Linked DNA regions of Struthio camelus. The protein of the gene in region 1 interacts with the protein of each later gene in a pairwise test. Links are inferred from orthologs where the notes say so. Each region holds a gene or a part of one and is shown on either strand. Other genes may lie near its edges. The genes, in order: AHCYL1, GEM and CDKN2C.

Region 1 (7,812 bases):
TGTGTGTTGCTATGTGTGTGGTTGTGCGTGCTGCTGTGTGCACCAGTTGTGTGTGCATGGTGCTGTGCGTGGGGTTGTGCGTGCCACTGTGCGCACCGGTTGTGTGTGCATGGTGCTGTGCATGTGGTTGTGCGTGCTGCTGTGTGCACCGGTTGTGTGTGTGTGTGTGTGTGTTGCTATGTGTGCGGTTGTGCGTGCTGCTGTGTGCACCGGTTGCACATGTGTGTGTTGCTATGTGTGCGGTTGTGCGTGCTGCTGTGTGCGCCGGTTGTGTGTGTGTGTGTGCGCACTGCTACGCGCGTGTGTGTGCGTGTGTCCCCGCGTGCCCCGGCTGTGTGTGCGTGTCCCCGTGTCACCGGGCGCGTGTCCCCGCGTGTCCCCGCTGCCCCGCCTGCCGCCCGTCCGTTGGTTTGCGCTCCTCTTCCCGCGTCGGTTGCAATCTCTTTTCCCGGTTCCCCGTTTCCCTCCCGCCTCACCCCAAACCCGGCTCCCTCCCGCCGCCAGGGGGCGCCGCCGCGCCGCCGCCCGGCCCCGGCGTGCGGCTTCGCTGCCAGGCGGCTGCGTGCTGACGTCAGGGCGCGCTGACGTCGCGGCGGCGGGCAGCTCCGCCCCTGGCGCCGAGCGCGGCGGCTGCAGGTCCGCGCCGCAGAGTGGTCGGAGCCGGCGGCACCGGAGCGGGCCGGGCCGGGCCGGGTCGAGCCGAGCCGAGCCGAGCCGGGCCGGGCCGGGCCGGGCCCAGCGCTGTGCCCCTCCCCGCCCCTCCGCTCCGCGCCCGGCGCCGCTCGCGGCCCCGGCCCGCCTCGCCGCCGCAGGATGTCGGTACCGGACTCGGCCGGCGGCGACGAGGTGAAGCAGGCCAAGGAGATCGAGGACGCCGAGAAGTACTCCTTCATGGCCACCGTCACCAAGGCGCCCAAGAAGGTACCGGCGGGCAGCATCGGGGCCGGCCCGGTTCGGGGCGGGGGGGAGCGGGGTCCGTGGCGGGCCGGGGCCGGTTCGGGGCCGGGGAGCGGGGTCCGTGGCGGGCCGGGGCCGGTTCGGGGCCGGGGAGCGGGGGCCGTGGCGGGCCGGGGCCGGGGAGGGGAGGATGGGTAGCAGGGTCTGTCGCGGGCCGGGGAGCGGGGTCTGTCCTGGTTCATGGGGGAGCAGGGCCAGGGCTTTCCCAGTTCAAGGTGGCCAGGCCATGGTGCTGGCCCACTTCTTAGGGGGGCTGGACTGGGAAACAGGGGGCTGGTCCAGTTGGGAAGAGGGTACTGGGAAAGGGGCACCTAGTGCAGCTTGAGGGTTTTGGAAAGAGGGACCTGACCCCATTCAACAGGGGAGAGAGAAGCAGGTACCAGGTTCAGAGGGGGCTGCTACCAGGAAACCATGTTTGGCCCCATTTGGGGCTCAGCTGGTACCAGAAAGGGGCTCTTGGCCCAGTTTGAGGGGGGCAGACTCGGTGCTGAGGGGCCTGTACTGGGATACGGCCCTGGCCCAGTTTGGGTCAGGGGAGGTGCTGATGGGGGACCGGTACCAGCGGCGTGGGGAGCCGTGGCCCGGTGTGGCGTGGCCTCATCTGGAAGGTGCTGGGGTCAGCCCTGGTAGGGCAGCTGGTACCAGGGTGAGGGCAGCACCAATGGGTCCTGTTCAGCACCGTGGAGCTGGGCTGGCTGAATCGAGGGAGGAGCAGAGGGGCTGGTTTGGTGGGGTCCTGGGCACCCCACGGCGTGAGGGTGCCTCGAGGGTGTCCCCAGGGCAGGAGTGCAGGTGGAAGGGGGCTGGGGGGACCCATTAAATGGAGCGAGCTGGCTGCGGTGACCTGGGGATCCTCCTGTAGGTCACCCTGAAGGGCAGCAATAGGAAATTCAGAGCATTGAACTTTTGGGGACGGGGCGCTTCGTTGGAGGCTTGGGTGGGATCATGTTTGGGCTGGGACAGAGGCTGCCAGAGCAGCCCCCAGCTCTGAGCTCTCCCACGTCGCTTCTTCACCCTTTCATCCTTAAAGACCTTCTCCAAGGAGTTCCCAAAATCTCCCTGGGCTGCCCCCCAGCCAACAGCAGCCCTGCTTGCATAACCGTCAGCGTGCACCCGGATGGGGCTTGCGAGCAGGTGAGCTCTGCCTGCGAAGTCGGATGGCTGTTTTAGCAGGACCCGGCTTTTAGATCGGCTGGTGCTTGGCCGGCCGAGAGCGAGCGGACGCCTGCGTGCCGTTGCCTAGCTGGGCGCCGAGCTTCACTAACGGGCCGCTGAAGTCGCGGCTCCTGCCAGCGCGGTGGATTTGTGCCGCGAGGCGCCGCGCGGGTACCCGGAGGTCCCTGCCGTGCCGAACATTGCGTTCTCCCCGGGGCTGCAGCCGCGTGCCTCGGAGCTGGGAGCCGAGGGCAGAGCAGTCGCAGCGAATGCAAATGTCTTCCTTCTCCGGGCGATGCGTCTTTTGCTCCGGCGAGCCGTGGGATTAGGGGAGCGGTAGGCCCTTGTGGAAAGGCCGCTGACAGTCGGCTGCGTTTGGGTTCTCTCTCCTCGTCCCGGCTTTCGGGCTGGCGCGCGGCCGCCAGGGAGCGGAGGGCCTGGTGGGTCTCCCTGCGCCTTGCGTGTGTTTATCCGGCCTGTGGACGTCGCCTGGAGCAAGGAGCAGAGGAATGCGGAGCTGGGATCTGCCTCTTCCCAGAGGTGGCTCGGCGGCACAGCCAGACATGGCTCAAACTCGGGCGATTTTTTTTTTCTTTCCTTTTTATCGTCAACATCTTCCACAAGAGCTGTTTAGTTAAAAGCGCGAGTCTATGGCTGTGTGAACATTACCAGCCAGGTGATTTGAGAAGGAAGAGCGAACTACTACTGCTCAAGTATCTTACAGGGCCAAAATACAAGTAGCAGAAGGGAAAGCAACGTGCGTGTGGAGAGGGAATCAGTCCAGCACCCTCATGGGCTTTGCTCGTATCTGTGGGGATAAGGGGTGTTGCATTACCCCCTTGAAGTTGCTGTGCTTACAGGCTTGTTTCACAGCCGAAGAGCAACCATCAGACTGTGGCTGCTGCAGCCTTTCCCGTCTGGGTGATGCTATTAAAGGTGCCCAGAGCAACGCAAGTTGTTTGAGGTTGATAACATCAGCAGGCAGTGCGATCTTGGGGAGTGCGCGATGCAGCTGAGGTCAAGGAACAAAACGCTTTGGGCCGCTGTTTTCCTTGCCTGGCTAGTTACTGTGAATAGCGCTCAGTCAGTGCGGCGGCCTTGGCAGGGGAACGAAAGGACGAGGAGGGGAGAACTGCCCTCCTGAGATAAGCTGCTGAGTGCCCCCAGCACAAGGCGTTTTCCTATGTCTTCAAAGCAGGATCACCGTGAAACCCTTAAAATGCTCTTTTTGTTTAAATGTGAGTCAAAGTGACTTGCGCACTTGCTGTGTTTCTGTCTTTGAAGCACTCCGCGCGGTCAGAGATGGTCGAGACAGATTAGTTTACCTGCGTGGAGGTAGAGGGAATCGCGGAGCGCTGTTGAAGCAGCGTCCCGGCTCGGTGTTTGGTTCCTTGAACTTTGGCGATGTAGTTTGCATAAGGCTTTGGAGATGGAGGGAACGCGTCCAAGGTTAGCGCAGGCTCGGCTCCTTTGTGTGCCCTGCTCAATAGCTTTTCAAAGAAGAGCCTTAACTTGTGTCAGCGCTTGCAGAAAGTGCCAGTGCGCTGCAGAGGAGCTGGCGCGAGGAGCCCGTGAGTGTCCCGTGTTCGGCGCCGGGGAGCTGATGCTGTGGTTTCCCGAAGTCAGAGCCCAGCTCGGCCCTAGAGGAAGGTCTCCGATGTAGCCGGAGGGCACGCTGGCCCCGTGCGTCCTCTGAAGAAGTCACCGTGCTCCTGGCCTTTGCTACACTGCCCTGGAGGCACCTGGAGCGATCCTGTGAGCTACGTAACCAGCCCGGGGGATCTCTGACATATTTATTTTCCCTCTTGTCATTGACTTGGTTAAGGTGAAAAAGTGAAACAGCAGGAGGTAAGAGATTAAGAGATTAAACGCGATCAACTCCGGGTTTAAGTAGGAGCCAAAGTAGTTGAGGGGAAGAGAGCTGTAGCCTTTCTGCAGAAATGTGGTCAGTTTTCCTCCAGGAGTTGGGGTTGTCTGGCTGTGCCGAAGCTCCCTTTTTGCTGCAGTTTACTGGAAATTGGGCTGTCAGCAAAATAACACCAGCTTTGGTCAGAGTGAGGCGGTTCCTTGGCAGAGAGTGGTTTGAAGGCAGAGGTGAGCGATATTGAGCCTTTTACTTTCTCCAGTGTGTGCCTAGATGTTGCTGGGGGATTTTGGAAACCAGCAATTTTGGGGTGCCTTGCCCAGGGAGAAGTGAATATGGGTTCGTCTAAGCAGGGAAAGGAGAGCTCAAGGGCAGGGTGTGCTCTTCTAGATCCCCGGGTCCCATCACCAGTGCATCTGGGCATCGGTTCTTCTGTCTCCCTGGAGTTCTGGAGGTGCCCTTGGATTTGGAAAGCAACTGCTGTCAAATCAGCCGGTCAGCGGAGCCTTTAAACTCCCGGCCGAGCTGAGCTACGTGTGCCCTAGAGCGGGGCGCGATGTGACACTGTGCCTAGAGACTGATGGCAGAGCAAAGGGGCTTTACAAGCCCTGTCCCTGTCTGTCACTGTGCCCGAGCCGGGCTGTACCCTTGTCGCGTGGCGTCCGCTGTCCCGTGAGATTGGATGACGGTGTCAAAGCAGAGGGAGCGCGCAATGTCTGTCCGGACTGTGGTCCCCTGGTGCGTGCCCCCCTCCTCGCCTGCTCCTTCGCACCTGGGTGCCGGCAGACGGACGTGCTCCGGCTCTGCACACCGATCTGCTTATTCATGCAGCAGAGCTGGAGCGTGAAATGGGCTCCAGCCTCTAATTTGCCCTCGGGGAGGCGTAAGCTTCGCGGCACCCCCGTGTGCCTCGCGAAGCCGGCAAGCCCGTCGCCTGCGTTTCAGTATGGTTCGCGGCCGGGGGCCAAACGGCGCGGGCTCTGCGGGTTTGGTCGCCGCGACCCTGCGGATGCTGGCGTCAGAGGAGCCCCGCTGAGGCTGTGTGCTGGCGGTGCAGAGGAGAATGCTAATGCACCGTGCTGCGGCTTTGCAGTGGTACCGAGCCGGAGCCGCGTGCTGGCGGATGCAGGGGTGGCACGAGATGGGAGCAGGGGAAGGGGACGGGGCAGGGAAAAGCTGGGGAGCTGACAGGAGGATTGCCATCCTCTGGAAAGGGCTTGCCGCCTTCCCCAAAGCATCATCTCTGCTGCTGCTTTTTAAGGTCGCCTGCATGAGCTGCACTCTCGCTGCCTGAGCAGTGTCTGACCTTGCTGCAGTCTGCTCTGTCCCTGCTCCTTGCACAGCCCCTTCCTGGAGCTGGGCTTTCTGCCTTTTTTTTCTTAGTCCCAGGTTGTCTCAGGTCTCTGCGGTTCTGCTCTCTCAGGCAGGGTGCTAATGAGTCTATCTTTGCCTTAGATCTGTCAGGAGGACAAGGTTGTCCTTGTTTATTCTGACAGAGCTTCTAGAGTTGCTTATTTTTTTCTCTTTTTTATTTCATCCCTTAAGCGGACAGACTGCTTGTAAATCTTCCTCTGCCTTTGGGTGCTTGTCCCACCATCTCCTTGCTTGGTTGCTTAGTGGTGCATGTGATTGTCACCTCCTTACCCAAATCCTCTATGGTATTTTGATTTCTCACCCTCTTCTCGTCTCCCTGCAGGTTTTCCTTTTGACAATGAGCTGCTTAGGCTGGGATGTTGTTAAGGGATCATTCTGCTCTTCACACACCATCTGGGATAGATCTGGCCTTTCTTGGGGTGCAAAAAGGCAGTAATATGTGAACGCATTGCTGCGGTTAGATGATCAGCTCAAGCCTGACCTGATTGTATCCCTAACCCATGGCGAGTGCAACCCACAAGGGTGTTTTGAGCTAAGATGATTTACTTTGCAATTGCTGGGCGCTGGAAGCAGACAGGTCATTGGTGGTGCTGTGTTAAATGACCAAATCTTAATTATTTATGTTTTAAGTCATTCTTCCCCTTGGGTCCTTCTCAGCACTCTGACTTCTTGGAGAGTCTCGCTGCTGTCAGTAAGGGAGGTCTGTCCCTGTGACCCAGCCCTGCTGCAAGACCAAAAGATGCTGATTTAAGTTCTCCTTGAACTGAAGAGCAGGAAGAAAGGAGCTTTTGGGGATCTGACCGAAAATGAGCCATCTTCAAAATGACGTGCCATGGCAAATGGTTTTTTGCATCTCTGTTCTCCTCCTCCTGCAGTCGCATGAGGTAGGCTCGGTTTCCACTCTGATGTCTGGTCTTTGGAGATAGGAAAGGAGTTGGCTACTCATTCCCTGTAGTCTTCAGAAGCAGCTCTTGTCTTGTTTTAGTGGTGCCAGCTGCAGTTGTGTGGGAGTTGGGGTCAGCCCATCTGAACAGTGCTGGTTGTCCTACTTGCCCCATTCCATTTCCAGTCTGGGCTTTGAGATTTCTTGGTGGAAATCTCCTTTCCATGTGAGCCGCCAGGTCTGGAGCATGGGAAGTGGGCTGATGACAGAAGAGTGGTGTTTTCTTGAGGCCTTTCCCAAAATGTGAGATTGTCTTGTGCCAGGGACCAGCCTATAACAATACTTTCTTTGGGACCCTGACAGTTTTCACCATTCTTCTTTTCCAGCCTGTGCAAATGTTGGAGTCTGTTCTGTGCTCCCTGCTACAGGTTGTGCTTTGAGGTTGGTTTTTTTGCTCTGGAAAAAGCCCTTCAGGGCTGGGTTGGAGTTGACCCTTTCAGATAACTGGTTGGCTAAACAGAGAGCTTTGCAGGTGAGGATCTTACTCATGTGGTTCCTCCAAGGGGTCGGCAAGTGGATTGTCCCAGGTGTTTGAGCAAGAGGAAGAGTGGGACTTGCCTGCTCTGAGCAGCACTCAGTGGAGGAGGCTTGCTTGTGCCTGACTGTGTTTTTATCATTAGGAGTTTCCTGTGGCGACGTTCCCGTTTGCAGAAGGCTTGTTGCGTTTCCTGTGGAGCTCTTTGATTAGCGCTGCTTATCTGGGGACTCTGACTCACGTTCACTGAGCAGATTGTGGTGACGTTTGAGGTGACTGTGCTAGAGCCTGCTGCTGGTGCCGTAGAGCAATGGGTGCAAAGGACCTTGAGCTAATGCTTCTGCAATTTATAACCGCTTGGCCCGATCCCCCTTTATCAGTGAGTTAAGGGACCGGATTGGATCAGTGGAAGGCTGGGTCCAGCGTAGGAAGGTCAGGGAGTCCTGCAGAGGAGAGTTGGTGAGGAGGACCATCTTGTTATCACCGCGGTGGGGTACTCCAGAGCCCCTCCATCAAAGCCCTCTACAGTATCTGAACGGCTCTGTCCCACGATTTGGGTCATGTTTATATCTTGACCATCTCCCTTTGATTCAGCCTGTTTTGCACCATACCCCTTTAACCTTGGGCTGAACGTCATCACGACATGCTCCCCCAATGTGGTTAACCCTCAACGGGGCAGGACATGGGGAATGGGTGCTTTTGGATGTCTCAGTGGGTGGTGCAAGCAGAGGGCTGCCGTTTGGGGTGTTTTCTGAGCAGCCCAGGAGGCTGAGGCTGGTGTGTGTCTGGTCTCCTCCCTCGCTGACCCCGGGGGCTCCCTGCCTCTGGGAAAGCGGGACGCGGAAGCTGTGGCTATTCATGCCCTTGGGAGGCCGCCCCGCTTGCCCTGTCGTACTGGGCTGCTTGAACTGTGAATTTTAATTACATTTTGGGATCAATACGGTGGCCTTGGTAACGAGCTTATTGCTGCTGCAGAATCTGTTTACTTCAGGTTGGTGACAGCCAAAGAACTTAGGTGGCCGGGGACGTGATGTTCCAGCTAGT
Region 2 (7,437 bases), on another chromosome or scaffold:
CTCTTTCTCTCCCCTCTCCTGAGCTTAATTAAGACCCTCGATAGCTCTCCCCAGGCTCATAACCCTTCATTTACCTAGCTCACTCCTCCTGATTTCAGATTACTTTCTCTCCCCTTACCTCCCCTGCTAGGCGTGCAACTTCTTACTCAGTCACTGAGTGTGAAGCAGGAAAGCCAAAGGCAACGCTATGGATACAAGCTGATGTAAATAAGTTTTTGGTCCCATTGCTATGGGTCTAATTGTTACTCTGCAATGTTGTGTAAAAAGCCGTCGCCCTGAGTTTTAATATTGCTCCAAATGGCCGCACTGAGCGTTCCTGTGCTTTATGACAGCACCTGGCCTTATGCTTGTCTCTTCTCATGCCTGTATCTCAGGCAGTTTTAGTTACAGAACCATTGACCAGCAAAGAGTGCAGGAAGATAGAGCTGCCAGAGCCACATGTGCATCCATCAGTCTATTGGCTTCTATTTGGAAATTTAAGCCTATAATCAGCCTTATTGAGAAGGGCTCCATTCATATGCCTCATTAGTCATCCTGCTATTATCCTTTGTAAGTACCAGCAGGCTTAGGATGCTGCACATTTCCCCTGCTTAAAAAAAAAGTAAAAAAAAAAAAATTCTCCACAGTTACAAGGATTGGAATTCATGGGTACTGATGACATTACCTGAGGACTGACTGATATCTTTGTTATAGGAGGAAAGGAGGCATATTGTAGTTTAGAACAGGCATGGAGAGTTAATTGTCAAGTCGGCAAAACTGGAAATAGGCTCAGAAAAGAAAACACAAGGGAAAATATGTGTGCAAGTTTCCCAAATACAAGCCCTTCATGTCATAGCTGGGACAATCCCTGTGGACCGTCTTATAGAAGAGATACATTGTGTGATCACTAGAAAACCATGTTTCGTTTGTCTGCCTTGAATTTTATGAAGAATTTATGCAAGATGATGTCTAGCAATTCCTGATCTAAGACTAACCATAATGAAACACAAGTGCTTTTGTGCTTTGGTTTATTTCTACTGTCTGTGCTTTCTACTATGATATAAGTTAATCATTTAGGTGAGACGTTAGAGCCCACAGTTCTGCTTAGATCAATCTGACTATAAATCTCTCCATTCCCATGGTAGATATGTTTTGCTTTTTTATATGTAGTGACAAATTACCGACAAGTTAAAGAGAACTAAATGGATGCAAGATGCAGAACACAGTACTCCAGTAACGCTGTCACCTTCATGATGGAACAGCTCATCCTGGAGGTCATCACTAAGCACATGGAGGACAAGAAGGTGATCAGGAGTAGTCAGCATGGATTGACGAAAGGGAAATCATGCTTGACCCATCTGATAGCCTTCTCTGATGGCATGACTGGCTGGGGAGATGAGGGCAGAGCAGTGGATGTTGTCTCCCTGGACTTCAGCAAGGCTTTGGACACTGTCTCCCGTCACATCCTCGTAGGTAAGCTGAGGAAGTGTGGGTTAGATGAGTGGACGGTGAGGTGGATTGAGAACTGGCTGGATGGCCGAGCTCAGAGGGTTGTGGTCAGTGGCGCAGAGTCAAGTTGGAGGCCTGTAGCTAGCAGTGTCCCCCGGGGGTCAGTGCTGGGTCCAGTCTTGTTCAACTTATTCATCAGTGACCTGGAGGAAGGGACAGAGTGCACCCTCAGCGAGTTTGCTGAGGATACTAAACTGGGGGGAGTGGCTGACCCACCAGAAGGCTGTGCTGCCATTGAGAGGGACCTGGACAGGCTGGAGAGCTGGGCGGAGAGGAACCTCCTGAAGCTGCACAAAGGCAAGCGCAGGCTCCTGCGCCTGGGGAGGAATAACCCCATGCCCCAGTACAGGTTGGGGGCTGACCTGCTGGCAAGCAGCTCTGCCGAGAAGGACCTGGGAGTGCTGGTGGACAACAAGTTGATCGTGAGGCAGCAGTGTGGCCTTGTGGCCAAGAAGGCCAATGGTCTCCTGGGGAGCACGAGGCAGAGTGTTGCCAGGAGGTGGAGGGAGGTGATCCCGCCCCTCTCCTCAGCCCTGGGGAGGCCTCCCCTGGAGTGCTGTGTCCAATTCTGGGCTCCCCAGCTCAAGAGAGACATGGCACTACTGGAGAGAGTGCAGCGGAGGGCTACAAAGAGGATGAGGGGACTGGAGCATCTCTCCTATGAGGCCAGGCTGAGGGAGCTGGGCCTGTTTAGCCCGGGGAAGTGAAGACTGAGGGGAGGATCTCATCAAGGTGTACAAGTATGTGAAGGGAGGGTGTCAAGAGGATGGGGCCAGTCTCTTCTCCGTGGTGCCCAGTGACAGGACAAGAGGCCACGGGCAGAAACTGAAGCACAGGCAGTTCCATCTGAACCTGAGGAAAAACTTCTTGACTGTGAGGGTGACAGAGCCCTGGCACAGGTTGCCCAGAGAGGTGGTGGAGTCTCCTTCCCTGGGGATATTCAAAACCTGCCTGGACGCGATCCTGTGCAATGTGCTCTAGAGGACCCTGCTTGAGCAGGGAGGTTGGACTAGATGATCTCCAGAGGTCCCTTCCAGCCTTGGCCGTTCTGTGATTCTGTGATTTCCAGCACATTGCAAAAACGAGCAACGCTGAAAGTGAAGCTGAGTATGCAGGCAGCAAAAGAGTGAAGTGTTCCTCCTAGAAACTGCTGGCCATGCCATAAAGGTAACACTAAACTCTCCCTGACAGAGGTTTTGCTGGGTTTTGCCATGCTGTACAGAGCTGTTGCATATGTGCTGCGCAGAGGATGAGCTGTTTTGTGTTCTTTGAGGTGACCACATGGCAACAGACTCAGAGCCTGCTGTGCTAAGGACCGGTGAGTGGGGACGCAGGATCTGCGGCCAGCTCAGCTACTGCCAAGCAGTAAGTTTTGTCTGAGTACTCTGTTAGTAGATATGAATAATTTCCATGTATGTTAATATGAGCATATACTTTGGAAAAGCAATATGCTCGTACTTGGACATGGTCTCTATTGGGCTCTCATCTCTTTAGGCTTGAGAATAGGCTCAGAAGGTGCCTGAAAATCCCCAAGAAAGACACAGGAATGCAAGAAAGGCAAAGGGGAAACAAGACGAGCATATTTCCAATGCAGAATTTGTGAAAGGTCTATGTTTTCACAGGAAAACAAGTCGGTTTACAGGTTTTAATCAAAGCATAAAAATGTAGAGGTATGTGAAATAAGTGCTAGACACCAAACAGTACTAGACATTCTTTTCTGCATATCACTGTTCTCTTTAATAAAGATATATGGTTAATTAAAGGCTTACTTGTCTGTAACTGAAAAGAATGGGGTCATGAAAAAAAAAATTCTTATCCCTGTTCAGAAATGGATCAAGTTGTTCAAACTAAAGTGCAACATAAAAATTACAGTCACACGTTGATTTTAGGGGACAACAGACTAACCAGGAGATTGTAAATATAAAGGAAAATTTTCTGAGCTTGTTTTTGAGCTCATCATAGATAACGCAGAATTTAGATAATTGAGGGCTGACTATAGAGTTTCCATATACTTTTATATAACTTGTGGCATCCTTACCAAGCAGTTCATTTTTCATCTGTTAATCGAGAAGTACCTTCTCTATGTTGTTAGGAGTGTCCCCCAGTGGCACAGTATTACAGTTTTTTTCCTCCTGGCAGAATTTCTTGTGCCAATGACATTTGAGCTTGTTAAAATTTAAGGAGCAGGCCCTTGTTTTGCGCCACGTACACTATATATTCATCTTTCCTAATAAACTATGGACTGCATAAGCACTATGCTACTCTGACTTTGTGCTTGTTAATGCTGATACATCTATGCCACTGTCAAGCTGGAGCAACACAGAATTTGTGGTCTGCTGTTTTTTTTAAACCTTTGCTAGTAAAGGGTTACAGCAGAAGCGAGAGCTGATTATGAGATTCAGAAAACTGCATGCAGTGACTTGGAGGCTAAGAGAAGCAGGAAAAATAGGATCTTATGTATTAGAACTTCTTTTTCAGAAAAAAATAGAATAATCCTCCTGCTTTTAAGATATCTTCAAAATAACATTATGATATTTTATTCCAAAGAAACATTTATCCACCAGATAGTCAGTTGCTTTTTGCAGAGAGACAACATAACACTTTTGCAGCATTTTATGCATTAATAAAGCTTATGCCATTTTTTAAACATCATCAATTTTAATAGCACTTGACTGAAAAACTGAGTGATGATGAAACAGCACATATAATTTTTTTTTTGCACTTTCCTGTCTTCATCTTGTGAGAACCAAACATGTTTATTTTACTGGCAACATTAGGGGAATCATATGGTTTCAAGGAAAGCTTTTGAGATTGTTTGTAAGTTTTTGCTCCTCTGCGTGTCCGCTTCCTCCCAGCTGGGGGCTGGCTGTTGTATGGAAAGGCCAAACACGTCACGGAAAAGCCCTGTCTCTGATCAGATGGGCTTAATATAAACCAGGTTTGCTGAGAGCGAATTAAAGAGGCAGCCCATAAGTAGAAGAGGATTTGCTTTGGCAGACCAGTTCAGTGTATCACACTCCACTGAGAGAGAAGGGCAGGGAGAGCAAAGGACCTGACTGCGGGGAAGAGCCCGTCAAAAGTAAGGCAGTGTTGGCTGAAATGCATTGGTCCAAATGCAGTATTTTACTATAAGTAAATGACAGACCAAATAGCTAATGCTAAATGCAGTTTGTGGTATGAAAAATAATTTGAAGTGGGAATGCTATGTGCAGTAGTGAGTTATAAGACTTTCTCTTGTTTGGATTTGTTTAATGAAGGATGATAATTTGTTAAGGGAAAAAATATAAAATATTTATGATTTGGACTATTTATTGATTGACTGTTAACTGAAGATAGTGATTTAGTGATTGTTCATTGTTTGACTGGATTAGAGGTGGCTTTTCTCATGCATTGTTTCAGAGGGGAAACTACAAGAAAAAAATGGATTTTAAAATTAAAGTACTGGAAAAACTTCACTTTGTTTGTGAAGCAGTCTTCGTTTGGTGCGAGGTTTCTAGTTACGTATGCTTTTTCCTGGCAAAGTTACTATGACTAGACTATGCATATGATCTAATCTTGCCACAAAGTACTGTGCGTCACAGTGAAAATATCACATAAGTTGGAATAAGTTTAGTTAGAGTGTGCTCTTTCTGCCTATTTGTTCTATGACCTGCTGCACATTTATTCTAAGAAGTTTTCATAAAGTTTTATGTGGATAGGAAAAACAATTTGTATATGTCTTTTTGATGTGTTGCTGCAATTATTTTCATTCACTAGTTCTTATTCAAAATATTCAAAATTTGTTATTGAAAGTGGTCTGATGCGTTGTGCAGACAGATATGCTGTTTATTAATATAGAGAAGAGAGCTAAGAAACATCAGACATATGCTAAAATGTAAAATATCTAAATAACTGTCACTTTGGAAACTGGAATATATCAAAGGATCTTTCCTAAAAATGGTAGCTGTTAGCCTGTGAAAATGACATCACTGCACTCTGCTTCCAACCAAGGCAAAATAGAGTTTGCAAAGTAAAATGTAATTAAGAGCCATGCATAGATAAGGTGAGCTAACTAGCTGTGTAAGATGAACAAACGTTCTTAGATAATGTGAATGAGCAGCTTTTGTGGTAAATTAATTTATTGACTTACTATCTGTAACTTTATGAGCTTTTACTCTCAGTGATACCTTCTTTAGAGGTCAGATTCAGTATCTCCTCAGAAAAGCCACTGGACTTGGTTGCATCCTCACTTTTACCAGCCAAAATGCTACTCTGTGCGATAGCTATTTTTTATTTGTCCTGCTATAGCTGAGATCAAAATCTATTCAAAATACATTATAACAAGACTTGCTTGCATCATTTGTTTCCAGCATGAGGGCTGTCTAGCACGTTTTACTTTCCCAAAAGATTAAACTTTTAACTGAGGCAATGGGAGCGATATTGCAAGCAAAATAGGATTTATTTTGTGACTGTGTTTTGGTGTGCACGGCTGACATTGCTGGAGGAACCAGCCTGTCTATGCCAGGAGAATGTAGGGAATGGGGCGCAGCCGTGGGGTGCGCCCGTGCTCACCCTTTACACCCACTGGAGTGGAACTGGAGGTGACTGCGGCTGGTCCCTCTGCCCACAGTTGCGCATGAAGGGTGGGGACTGGCACCTACAGGGTCCCATCAGCTGCCTCACTGAGGATGCAGCTGTATGCAGGCTCCCAGGCATGACAGCGCTGGCAGATGTTGCCCCTTTGCTCTCCTCCTGGGACATAGCAATGCTGCAGTATCTCCAGGGCTGCGCTGCACCTAGTACAGCAGTGAGCCTGCAACAGCTAAGCAAAGCACAAAGCTGGGATTTAGCATGTGACAGTGGTATTGTCCCTAGGATGAAAGCTGCAGCTCTGACTCACTAACTAGAAATTTCTTTGTGTACCAGCAGCAACAAAGAAGTGCAGAAAGCCTCTTTTTTTGTTGTTGTTGTATAGTCCAGCTCTTCTGTAGGGTTCTACATACTGTCCTGAGGTTGGGAAGAGGGTGTTAACGCATTTCTAATGCTTTGTGGGTGATGTTTGTCGTTTCCACGTTTCTCACCAGGGGTAAAAAATGACCCTCAACAATGTTACCATGCGTCGCACCAACAACAGTGGCTTGCAGCAGCAGCAGCGATGGAGCATCCCTGCTGATGGAAAGCACCCGCTGGTCCAGAAGGACTCCAATGAATACAATGCACAGAAACGATACACCATCAGTCCTGACGATTACTACAGAAGGAGCTGGTCCTCGGAGTCGTCTGACTCCGTCATCTCCTCTGAATCCAGCAGCAATTGCTACCGGGTGGTGCTGATCGGGGAACACGGTGTAGGCAAGTCGTCGCTGGCCAACATCTTTGCAGGGGTACATGACAGCATTGACAGCGACTGTGAGGTGCTAGGAGGTAGGTCATGATGGCCTGGGGCGCTTGTTTACTTGAGGGCAGCCCTGTCAGTAGCAATGGCATTAAGGCACAGAAAATTAGCAAGACCATTTAACCTGAAACTGAGGTAACCAACACTTGGGTCTGATCATCAAAATTGATTCCAACACATCTATCTCTCTTAAGAAAACAAGCAAAAAAAATTAGATACGAGGACTAAGGTCCTCACTAATGAGGATCTAAAGCCTCTGCAAGGCAGCAATGTAGCTTCTCATGCTATTTCATTTTAAAATACCTGTTGGAAGCTGCTATGTTCCTGCCTGTGCCTGTGTTATAGGGAAAGGCTGGTTCAGCTCTCACACATATGTCCAAAATATGTCACCACTGGCTCCACAGGGTCAATTCCTACTTTCTGTGCGGGACAGAAAAAAAAAAAAAAAGAAGATGCCCTTGTTTTATTAGAATGTAATGCTTAAAAATAATATATAATGAAAAATACCCCCTCCCCATCCAGTTCTTTGATCACCTCCAAAATATTTGCCGTTAGAAGTCGTGCATAAATATATT
Region 3 (8,050 bases), on another chromosome or scaffold:
GTCATTGAGGTCGCAAAGAGGCGCTTTGCGGCTGACACGTGACCAGCCTCCTGTCAAGCGCTCGCGAAGCCGGGGGAAGGGGCGGGGCGGCGCCTTTCCGGCCGCGCGCGCCCCCGGCCGCCGCCGCCGTCGCTCCCGCTCCCGCTGACGGGGCGCGCGCGCGCGCGCGCGGGGGGAGCGCCGCGGCGGGGCGGCCGGAGGCGCTGCTTTCCGGGGAGCCGCTCTGTGCCAGCGGGGCCGGCCCTGGCGGGGCGGGACGGGGCGGGGGGGGGGCTCCCTCCGCGCCCGGCCCCTGCGCGGGCCCATCCCGAGCGGCCCCCGGCGACGGAGGCGCGGAGCGGCGGGGGGGAGGGGGGGAAAGGGGGAACGTCCCCCCTCGAGGGGGCGGTGACAACGCCGCGGCGCGGGGGGAGGCGGCGCGGGGCGGGGGGGGGGGAGCAGCGGGTGGGGCTGGGGCTGGCGGCCGCCCCCCCGGGCTGCAGCGCGGCTCCGGGAGGCGCCTGCAAACGCCGCGGCGGGCGCGTCCCAGCGCGGTTTGCACTTGCTGCGACGGCGCATGACTTCCTGCAAAACCTCCTTTTTTTTTTTTTTGGACCGGGGGCGGGGCGGCTCCGCGAAACGGTGAATTTCGCCCTCTCTGTACTTCCCTCGGAAAGAGTCCGAGCCGTTTTCTGAGCCGACGGAGAGTAACGTGCGCGACGACCCCTCGCTGCCGCTGGCCGCGCGGGGTGCCGCGGCCGGGGCCGCCGCGCTGCGCTAGCGCGGAAGGGCCGGCGAGAAGGAACGCTGCTGGGGGCTGCCTGCCGCCGCGCCCTGCCGCCCGCCCCCTCGCCGCTGGCGTTGAACACGGAACGCTCGCGCTTTCGGACAGCAATTTGCTAATTAGCCCAACACGTTTTGTTCGGCCCTTTGTATATGTTCGGTGGGTGTCCCGGTTACCTAAGGCCAGAAAGGGATTAAGCACCTTTCTTCTTAGTGAAAGCTAAGGGAGCTACGTTATGATATACTCCCTGTGAATCAGGTTATTTTCCCCTCTTTAAGAAACGTAGTTCTCCATTGTTTTTTTCCCCCCTCTACTCGCCTTCGTGAGGCTTATACACGAGTTTTTCAGTCGGTGTACTTCCTGCTGACTACTGTAATTATAGCAACAGGGTGCCAAATAAAAGGGAGACCTGCGGGAAAAAGAAGCACAACTGCACATCACAGCAGAATCCATTAAAAAAAGGGAGCGTGACTTAGGGAGAGACAGCAAATAAACACCGCATGCACGTTACATACAGTAGATGGGTACAAAAAATGTTAAATTGCACCTTCAAGACAGTCCATTTCCCCCAAAAGAATGCTGTAGGTATGGAATTATCTAAAGCTTGCTGCTGAATGCTATTGAGGGCTGTGATCTTCACGATGCATTCGGGTTGCTTCTGGTGGCTGGATAATCACTCCGAATTTCAAGGTGGATTAAAGCTATACTAAAACTCCACTAGTGATGCAAAGCCAGATAAGTTGGATATTATATTGTATCGTATTCCTGCGTTAGTTTATGTTGGCAAGGTTGTGCAAGAGACCTTTATCACTCGCTCATGTTAGCTTAACAGTTCGAGTTTCCCACCACCGAATATATGGATGATAATGTAATTGCTTTCACACCTGCTTTTCTCAGTTTGATGTTACATACAATTCTGTAATATGTACAAGGTATGGTGCAATGCCAGTGACAGCCTATACTAAATTACGAACAAATCCACCCACGCATTACTTGAGAGTAAGTATCATAAAGGCTGAAAAGCAAGTTTTATAAATTGGATTGAAGCCAATTAATTCCTGGCACGAATTTAAACTAAAGTTACGTTGTCAAGGTTAGTTACATAGTGTTCACGTCTACTAAAGTAATATTTTAAATCATAATAGGTATATTAGATCAAAAAAGGAAGCAATTGAACCACAATGTGAAGAAAAGGTGAAAAGTTAACATACCGTACATCACAGGAAGTTCATGTTAAAGTCACAGTGAAAGTTTCTATTATTCTTTTCACAACTCATAACTTCGACATACTCCTCTATGTCTTTTTTCTCCTACAAGTATTACAAAATTATAGAGGGTAAAGTGGGTACTTGCTGACATGACTCATTGCAATGTCCGGTGATAGTATCTCCCTGCAGAAGGTGTTTCAGCCGCTGATTTTGATTCTGACTGAGGTTACACTTTCTGTTTTATGAGGGGTATCTTGATGATTGTTAAAAGGAAGTGACCATAATTCGTGATCATAATATCATGCTTTTTTCTGCAAAGCTCTTTGAAGGACATTAGAAGCAAGTATGATGAAGAATGTTTGATGGCTTTTTCTGGCTGGGCAATTTTACTCGCAGAAGGCCTGCAGCATCCCAGCTACAGTTTAGTTAATTATTTTTGTTATGTAACATGATTAACAGAAGATGGACGCTTCCTTTTTAACTGTAAAACAAAAAAAAAGTAGTAGGGTAGTGTTGCAAGACTTTTAGGACTAATTCTGCACTAAATTAGCAACGAGTAATACCACCAAAACCTTTAGATTTTAGGTACTGATTAGTCACAAAATAGGTCCTTTAAAAGCCGACTGATTCAATATTCTAAGTATTGTATATTAATGCCTTCCTTATGCAAAAAAGTAACTATATTTAAATATATGTATTTCTATATACTTCTATTTCTAGAGTTAACTTCGAGGGGAGTTATAATTCGTATCTTTGTTTACAAAATTCAGCAGTATTGCTTGTGACCGAGAATTATGATAATAAGGCCCTAAAAGTTTCTTCCTTTCTTTCTTTTTTGCATGTGTGGGGCACTTGATAATTTGAGCACAGCTGGATTCTCTGCTTTTTGTGTAGCCAGCTCATAGCTTTTCCCCACGGTGTTTTCACAAACAAGGGGGTCAGCACAGAGAAATGTGACTGCGAAGCAACAAGCTAATCAAAACTTACAGGAGAGTCAGACGCATAAGTAATACCTACTGCTAACTTCCTTTAACTATTTAGATTGCAGGTTGGTCCCTGTAAAACTGGTTATGTCTCTCGCAGTCGTAATTGTAAATCAGGCCCGCGACACGTGCTGTCTCTGCCTTCATGTCCATGGCAGGTTTCTGGGACGGAACTGGGGCGGTGTTTTATGAGCTGATATTATTGTCAAACAGGTTCCCTCCCTGAATTGGCTCATACATGTTTACATTCAAACTAACTTTTCCGTGGTGTCTACACGGACAGCTACAACTGACAGATTACGTATGCTGCCTGGGGAGCCGTGACATTGAAGCCGCGGTGTAACTCGCCTCCCAGGCTGTTAACTATTGCAGAATTCAGCTTTTTCGAGGTCCCCTGAAACTTAAAGCAATTCAGCAAGTCAAGCATTTCAAAGCATTAAATGATGTTAGTCAGAACGGTAATAAAATCTCCATACTGTACCGTCGTTACTTCTTTTCCCTTTGAAGCAGTGAATCCCTCACGTCTTCCTTGTAGTTACGTGCCTTTTCCCCTCAAAATGGCCCTTTCAAATTAACCAAGAACATCAGAAACACGAACAGCAAAGATTTCTGTTCTGCATTCTCGCCTCTCACAGCTACCGCGACTTGACATTGGCCCTTCATCCGTGACCTTGTCCCTGCGGAGCAGAGCCAGCACCGCGGCAGGACCGGACCCTGCCCGGGAAGCCGCCGCCTCCGCGGTGCCGGGCCGGGGCCGCTGCGGGCAGGTGGGCACCGCTCGGCCGCGAGCCCGCGGGACCCCGGGGCGGCGGCGCTGGGTGCCGGGGGAGCGGCGGGGCGCGCTGCCCGCGGCGGCTCGGCCCTCCGCGCTGGCGCAGCGGCTCCGGGCGCTCAAGCGCTCCCGCTTTAGGCCTCGGCAGCGGAGCCTCTGAACCAGCGACCTGGCGACTGCGGCGGCGGCGGGCACGTCCCTGCCCTGCCCGGTCCGCCAAGCGGGGGGAGCCCCGCACGGCGCGGGCCCCGCCGCCGCCCGGCGCGCAGCGTGCGCGGGACCGGAGCCGGGACCGGAGCCGGGGCCTGCGCGGCGGGGCCGGGCGAGGGGCGGGCGCCGTGCAGGCCTTCCTGCCCGCCCGCCGGCCGCGCCGCAACTCCGCCGCGCCTCCTTAAATCTCTGCCGTTAAAATGTGGGCGGGTGTTTCAACTCAAAAAGCGCTCAAATTTTTTTTCTTTTCAAAAAAAGCTGATGAGGTTAAAAAAAAAAGGGGGAAAGAAAAAAAAAAAAAAGAAACCGGCTTCGTGTCCGTAGGAAACAGAAGTAGAGATTGTTTGTGCTTAAAAAAGGGGGAGCGTAAAGTCGCGGGCGGAGGCAGCGATTGCAGACCGGCAAGTGCAGCTTTATTTTGCAAAGTTGAAAGAAAAGGAAAGCCGCTGCTGTCACTGCGCGCCGGAGGCTGCGAGCCGAGGGGCCGGCGGCGGCACAGCTGGTTGGCGGCAGCCGGGGTGCCGCGCTGCCCGGGCCGCCCGCGCCCGCGCGGCTGCTGCGCGGGCTGCGGCTGCCCCGGCGCAGCCTTTGCCCTCCGGGCGCTCCCGGGAGCCGGTCCGCCTCCTCCTCCTCCTCGCCCGCTGCTCGCACACACCGCTCCCCTTCCTCGGCGCGGCCAGCGCGCTCGGGACGGCGGCAGCGAGAGAGGCACCACCACACCGGGGAGCGCCGAGCCGCCCAGCGGAGCGCCGAGCGCCGGCCGCGGGGCCCGGCCGCGCCGCGGAGACGGCTGCGCGCCGGCGGCGCCGCGGCGGCTCCGCGCCCTGAGCGCGGGCGGCGGCATGCGGCTGCCTCTGCGCCGCCGCCGCCGCCAGGCCGCCGCCGCCGCCCGCGGCCCCGCCGGCCTCCTGGATGCGCCGGAGCCGCCGCCGCCGCCGCCCGCCACCGCGCCCGCCCGCTGCGCCCGGGCTCCGCCAGGACGCGGGATCGACGCTGCTGCGCGAAGCCAGGAGCGCCGGGGCCGCCGCGCCGAGGGAGCGAGCGCTGCGGCCGGCCCCGCCGCCGCCCGCCGGCCCCGCCGCCGCCCCGCGCGGCTCGCCCTGGAGGCGGCCGTGCCGGCTGCCAGGGGGCATCCCCCCGGGCATGGACGCGCGCCGCTAGAGAAGACTTTTCTTCGGAGCTGTTGCTGCTAAGTCTCGCATCCCGACTGTGAACAGGGTGGGTTGTTTTCTTCTTCAAAGATTTCAGGGCTGACTCAGGCTCCAGGGTACGTGTATATATGTTACATATAACATATATCATATATTTCATAGCTTTTAATATATTTCCCTTTAAACTGGCCAAAGTCTTTAATAGGAGTTACTCTATATGTGGAAGCGAAGAAATCTTCTTTCAAGTGGAGCTGCAGTTTTGCTGAATAATCACGTGTGAGTTAGGGGCGGGCTCTTGGCAAGGAGTTTTTTTACGAGTATTTACTACAAGGTCTACTCCAGAAGATTAACCATCCCAATCCTTCTGTCAGTCTCCGATGCCATGCCTGGTTAAAAAAAAATCTCATCTTTTTCCGATCGTCAGTCACCCTAAAGAATGGCCGAGCCTTCTGGGAACGAGCTGGCGTCCGCGGCTGCCAAGGGGGACCTAGTGCAACTTACTAATTTGTTGCAAAAGAATGTAAACGTCAATGCACAAAATGGATTTGGGAGGACTGCGCTGCAGGTTGGTATCCAGAGAGGGAGAAAATATTTCATCACTGCTACCTACGTGACCCGGGTTTCCAAAAAGACAACGTTTTAAACAGGCTGGTGGACGAAATTCGAGTGTTTTTTAAAGTAGTTGGATGCCATATTTTATAACTTTAGTGGCTCCAACTCCCTAAAATGACGTACTTGAAATAAAACTGGTCAAAACCATTATTTCAGTCGGGGATCACCCTCAATGTCAAACGGGCTACAAGTTTAATAATATTTTGTAACTTAGTGGGGAGGAGGCAAAGAATGGAAGAGAGGAGATGAAAAGAAATCATCTTAGGTGAGCAGGATTTCAGAGCAGGTCTGTAAACACATCTGTGTTACTATTTGAAGCTTAGAGTTATTTTTTGTTCCCCCTATAGTATGCTGTTAAAACATTGCTTTTCTCGATTATTAGTTCTGCGGTAGATGGTACTTTTCCTTTATACGCTGTTTGTGACGAATGACCTTTCTCATTTCGAAGCTGCTACACAGAATCGAGTACCTTAGATGTACATTCATAGCTAGCCGAATGAGTTACAGCTCAGTCTGAATCACTTGCCTTTTCATTCATAATTAAGGCTTAAATATTTGAATTTTTAGATCGGATGGCAAGGCATTGCTTCCAGCTATTTCATTTCTGATCGTATAGGGTCCTCTGTCCTAATTTTTAAGTGGGTAGCTGTGCAGACAGGATTTGGAACTCATCCAGCTGCTAACTATTGGAGCTGATGAAAGATTTCTCTTTTCATAATATCAGATAATGATGGCGAAAATGGTAGAATGCATACAAAATAGTGAAATAAGTGATTTATAAATCAGGAGGAAATGTGTGGTTATTTATATACTTAAGGGAATGTAAAGAAATGTGGAAGTAGAGCTGTGGGACTTTTTAATTTCACACATTAGAAAAATCGTTTCTATTAACTCCTCTCTCCCCCTCCCCCGAAACCACGATATTCATTTCTGAAATTTTGTTTTCAAAAAGCATGTAGCTTGCGAATGCGCTCGAGATATTTACAGGTTTTTGGCTTACCATCAAAATGTTAGACCTCGAAAATAAGCACCTCTTGTTGTAAAGCAGTACTGACCCTTGTTTGACAATTTCACCTAAACTCGAGAGCTGTAAGATTATCTTTGCACTGTTATCACCTAAATAGGACATCGTATGACAGTGCAGACACTCGCAGCAACTTTTAGGAGCAGGGAAGGATTTAAATTAGAAACTTGTACAAACTAACTTTTTTTAAAAAGCAGGAAACATTTAGCTAGATGCTTTATCCTCCAGACGGGGGCTGAAAACCGAATGGTACTACAGTAATGTATTTTGCTAAAAGAAACTAAACGTCCGTGCCCTAAATTAAGGAATATTTTACACAAGGACAGAGCATTCAGCTATATTAAACACGCATCTGTGTACTAACAATACTTTTTATTGCAGCCTAATCATAACTGAGTTAAGGAACCGCAAACAAAAATCAAAACAGAAGAATCTGTCTACTTATTTTCACTATGTATCATCCTGAAATGTGTTGTGGGTGGGTGACCACGCTCGAAAGGGTTCTCTGTCAATACAACCTCCAAAATCGAGATAATCTCTCAATAATCTCTCTCTCACTCACAACAGAGAGAATGCTTATTTGTTAATTCAAATTAATATCTAATTTTCTTCTGGATTTATGTTTAATTGGACAAGTGCTTGTCTTCCTCTGTACTTTTTTTTTTCTGATGAAGTGTACCTATGCAGGCCTCAAATGCAAGTCCTGCCCTTACGCTCTTCATCAGACTTATTCAATAAATACTTTCTCCTTCTTTGCCTCCCCCAGCCAAGTGAAACTTTTCAAAATAAAGGGCATTTGCGGTATAGTTGTATCCCACGTCCAAATAGCATCACCTTTTATAAGGTTTTCTCCCCCCCCCCCCGCATCTTTAAATTAAGCCTTCAGTCCCCAAACCTGCCTTCCTTGAACACATAAGTGGCAGTTGCCACTTGAACCAAATACATGTTTTGAATACACAAATAATACAGCCTGGGCCCTCAAAAAGAGACAAAAATGTCTAGATTTATCAAAGAAAGAGAGAGCACAATGCTTTTATTTTCCTTTACATCGCTTACACCTCTTTTCAGAATTGAAAAAATGGCACATAAACATGCACGAAATATTGTGCCCCAGATAAATGTCTTTCCCTGAATCCCATCCTGTCTTATCTGTAGTTTTATTCCTGTCTGTAGATGCAATATAATGGGCTACTTTACATTCTAAATGCTACAGTAATTATATTTACTATAGGTGTGTCTTTATTACAAAGCCTAATACATATTTTTCATTGAGAACAGTATTTCAGCAAATGCCTTGTGCAAATTACACATGTTAAATATAATGCAC

The links.
Region 2: the proteins of AHCYL1 (region 1) and GEM interact in binary tests that used the Homo sapiens proteins (3 or more experiments, as listed by UniProt). The two-hybrid records come from large-scale screens. The link is inferred for Struthio camelus from reciprocal best matches to the Homo sapiens genes AHCYL1 and GEM.
Region 3: the proteins of AHCYL1 (region 1) and CDKN2C interact in binary tests that used the Homo sapiens proteins (3 or more experiments, as listed by UniProt). The two-hybrid records come from large-scale screens. The link is inferred for Struthio camelus from reciprocal best matches to the Homo sapiens genes AHCYL1 and CDKN2C.

What each region holds. Positions count from the first base shown.
Region 1 is NC_090965.1:4,283,150-4,290,961, forward strand, and holds the start of AHCYL1 (S-adenosylhomocysteine hydrolase-like protein 1), read left to right. Parts: upstream 1-4,786; 5' UTR 4,787-4,801; coding exon 4,802-5,071; intron 5,072-6,038; exon of another isoform or gene 6,039-6,156; coding exon of another isoform or gene 6,157-6,234; intron 6,235-7,812. UniProt on the Homo sapiens protein: Multifaceted cellular regulator which coordinates several essential cellular functions including regulation of epithelial HCO3(-) and fluid secretion, mRNA processing and DNA replication.
Region 2 is NC_090943.1:149,190,523-149,197,959, forward strand, and holds the start of GEM (GTP-binding protein GEM), read left to right. Parts: upstream 1-4,419; 5' UTR 4,420-4,567; intron 4,568-6,551; 5' UTR 6,552-6,560; coding exon 6,561-6,891; intron 6,892-7,437. UniProt on the Homo sapiens protein: Could be a regulatory protein, possibly participating in receptor-mediated signal transduction at the plasma membrane. Has guanine nucleotide-binding activity but undetectable intrinsic GTPase activity.
Region 3 is NC_090949.1:30,975,658-30,983,707, forward strand, and holds the start of CDKN2C (cyclin-dependent kinase 4 inhibitor C), read left to right. Parts: upstream 1-5,008; 5' UTR 5,009-5,154; intron 5,155-5,511; 5' UTR 5,512-5,523; coding exon 5,524-5,652; intron 5,653-8,050. UniProt on the Homo sapiens protein: Interacts strongly with CDK6, weakly with CDK4. Inhibits cell growth and proliferation with a correlated dependence on endogenous retinoblastoma protein RB.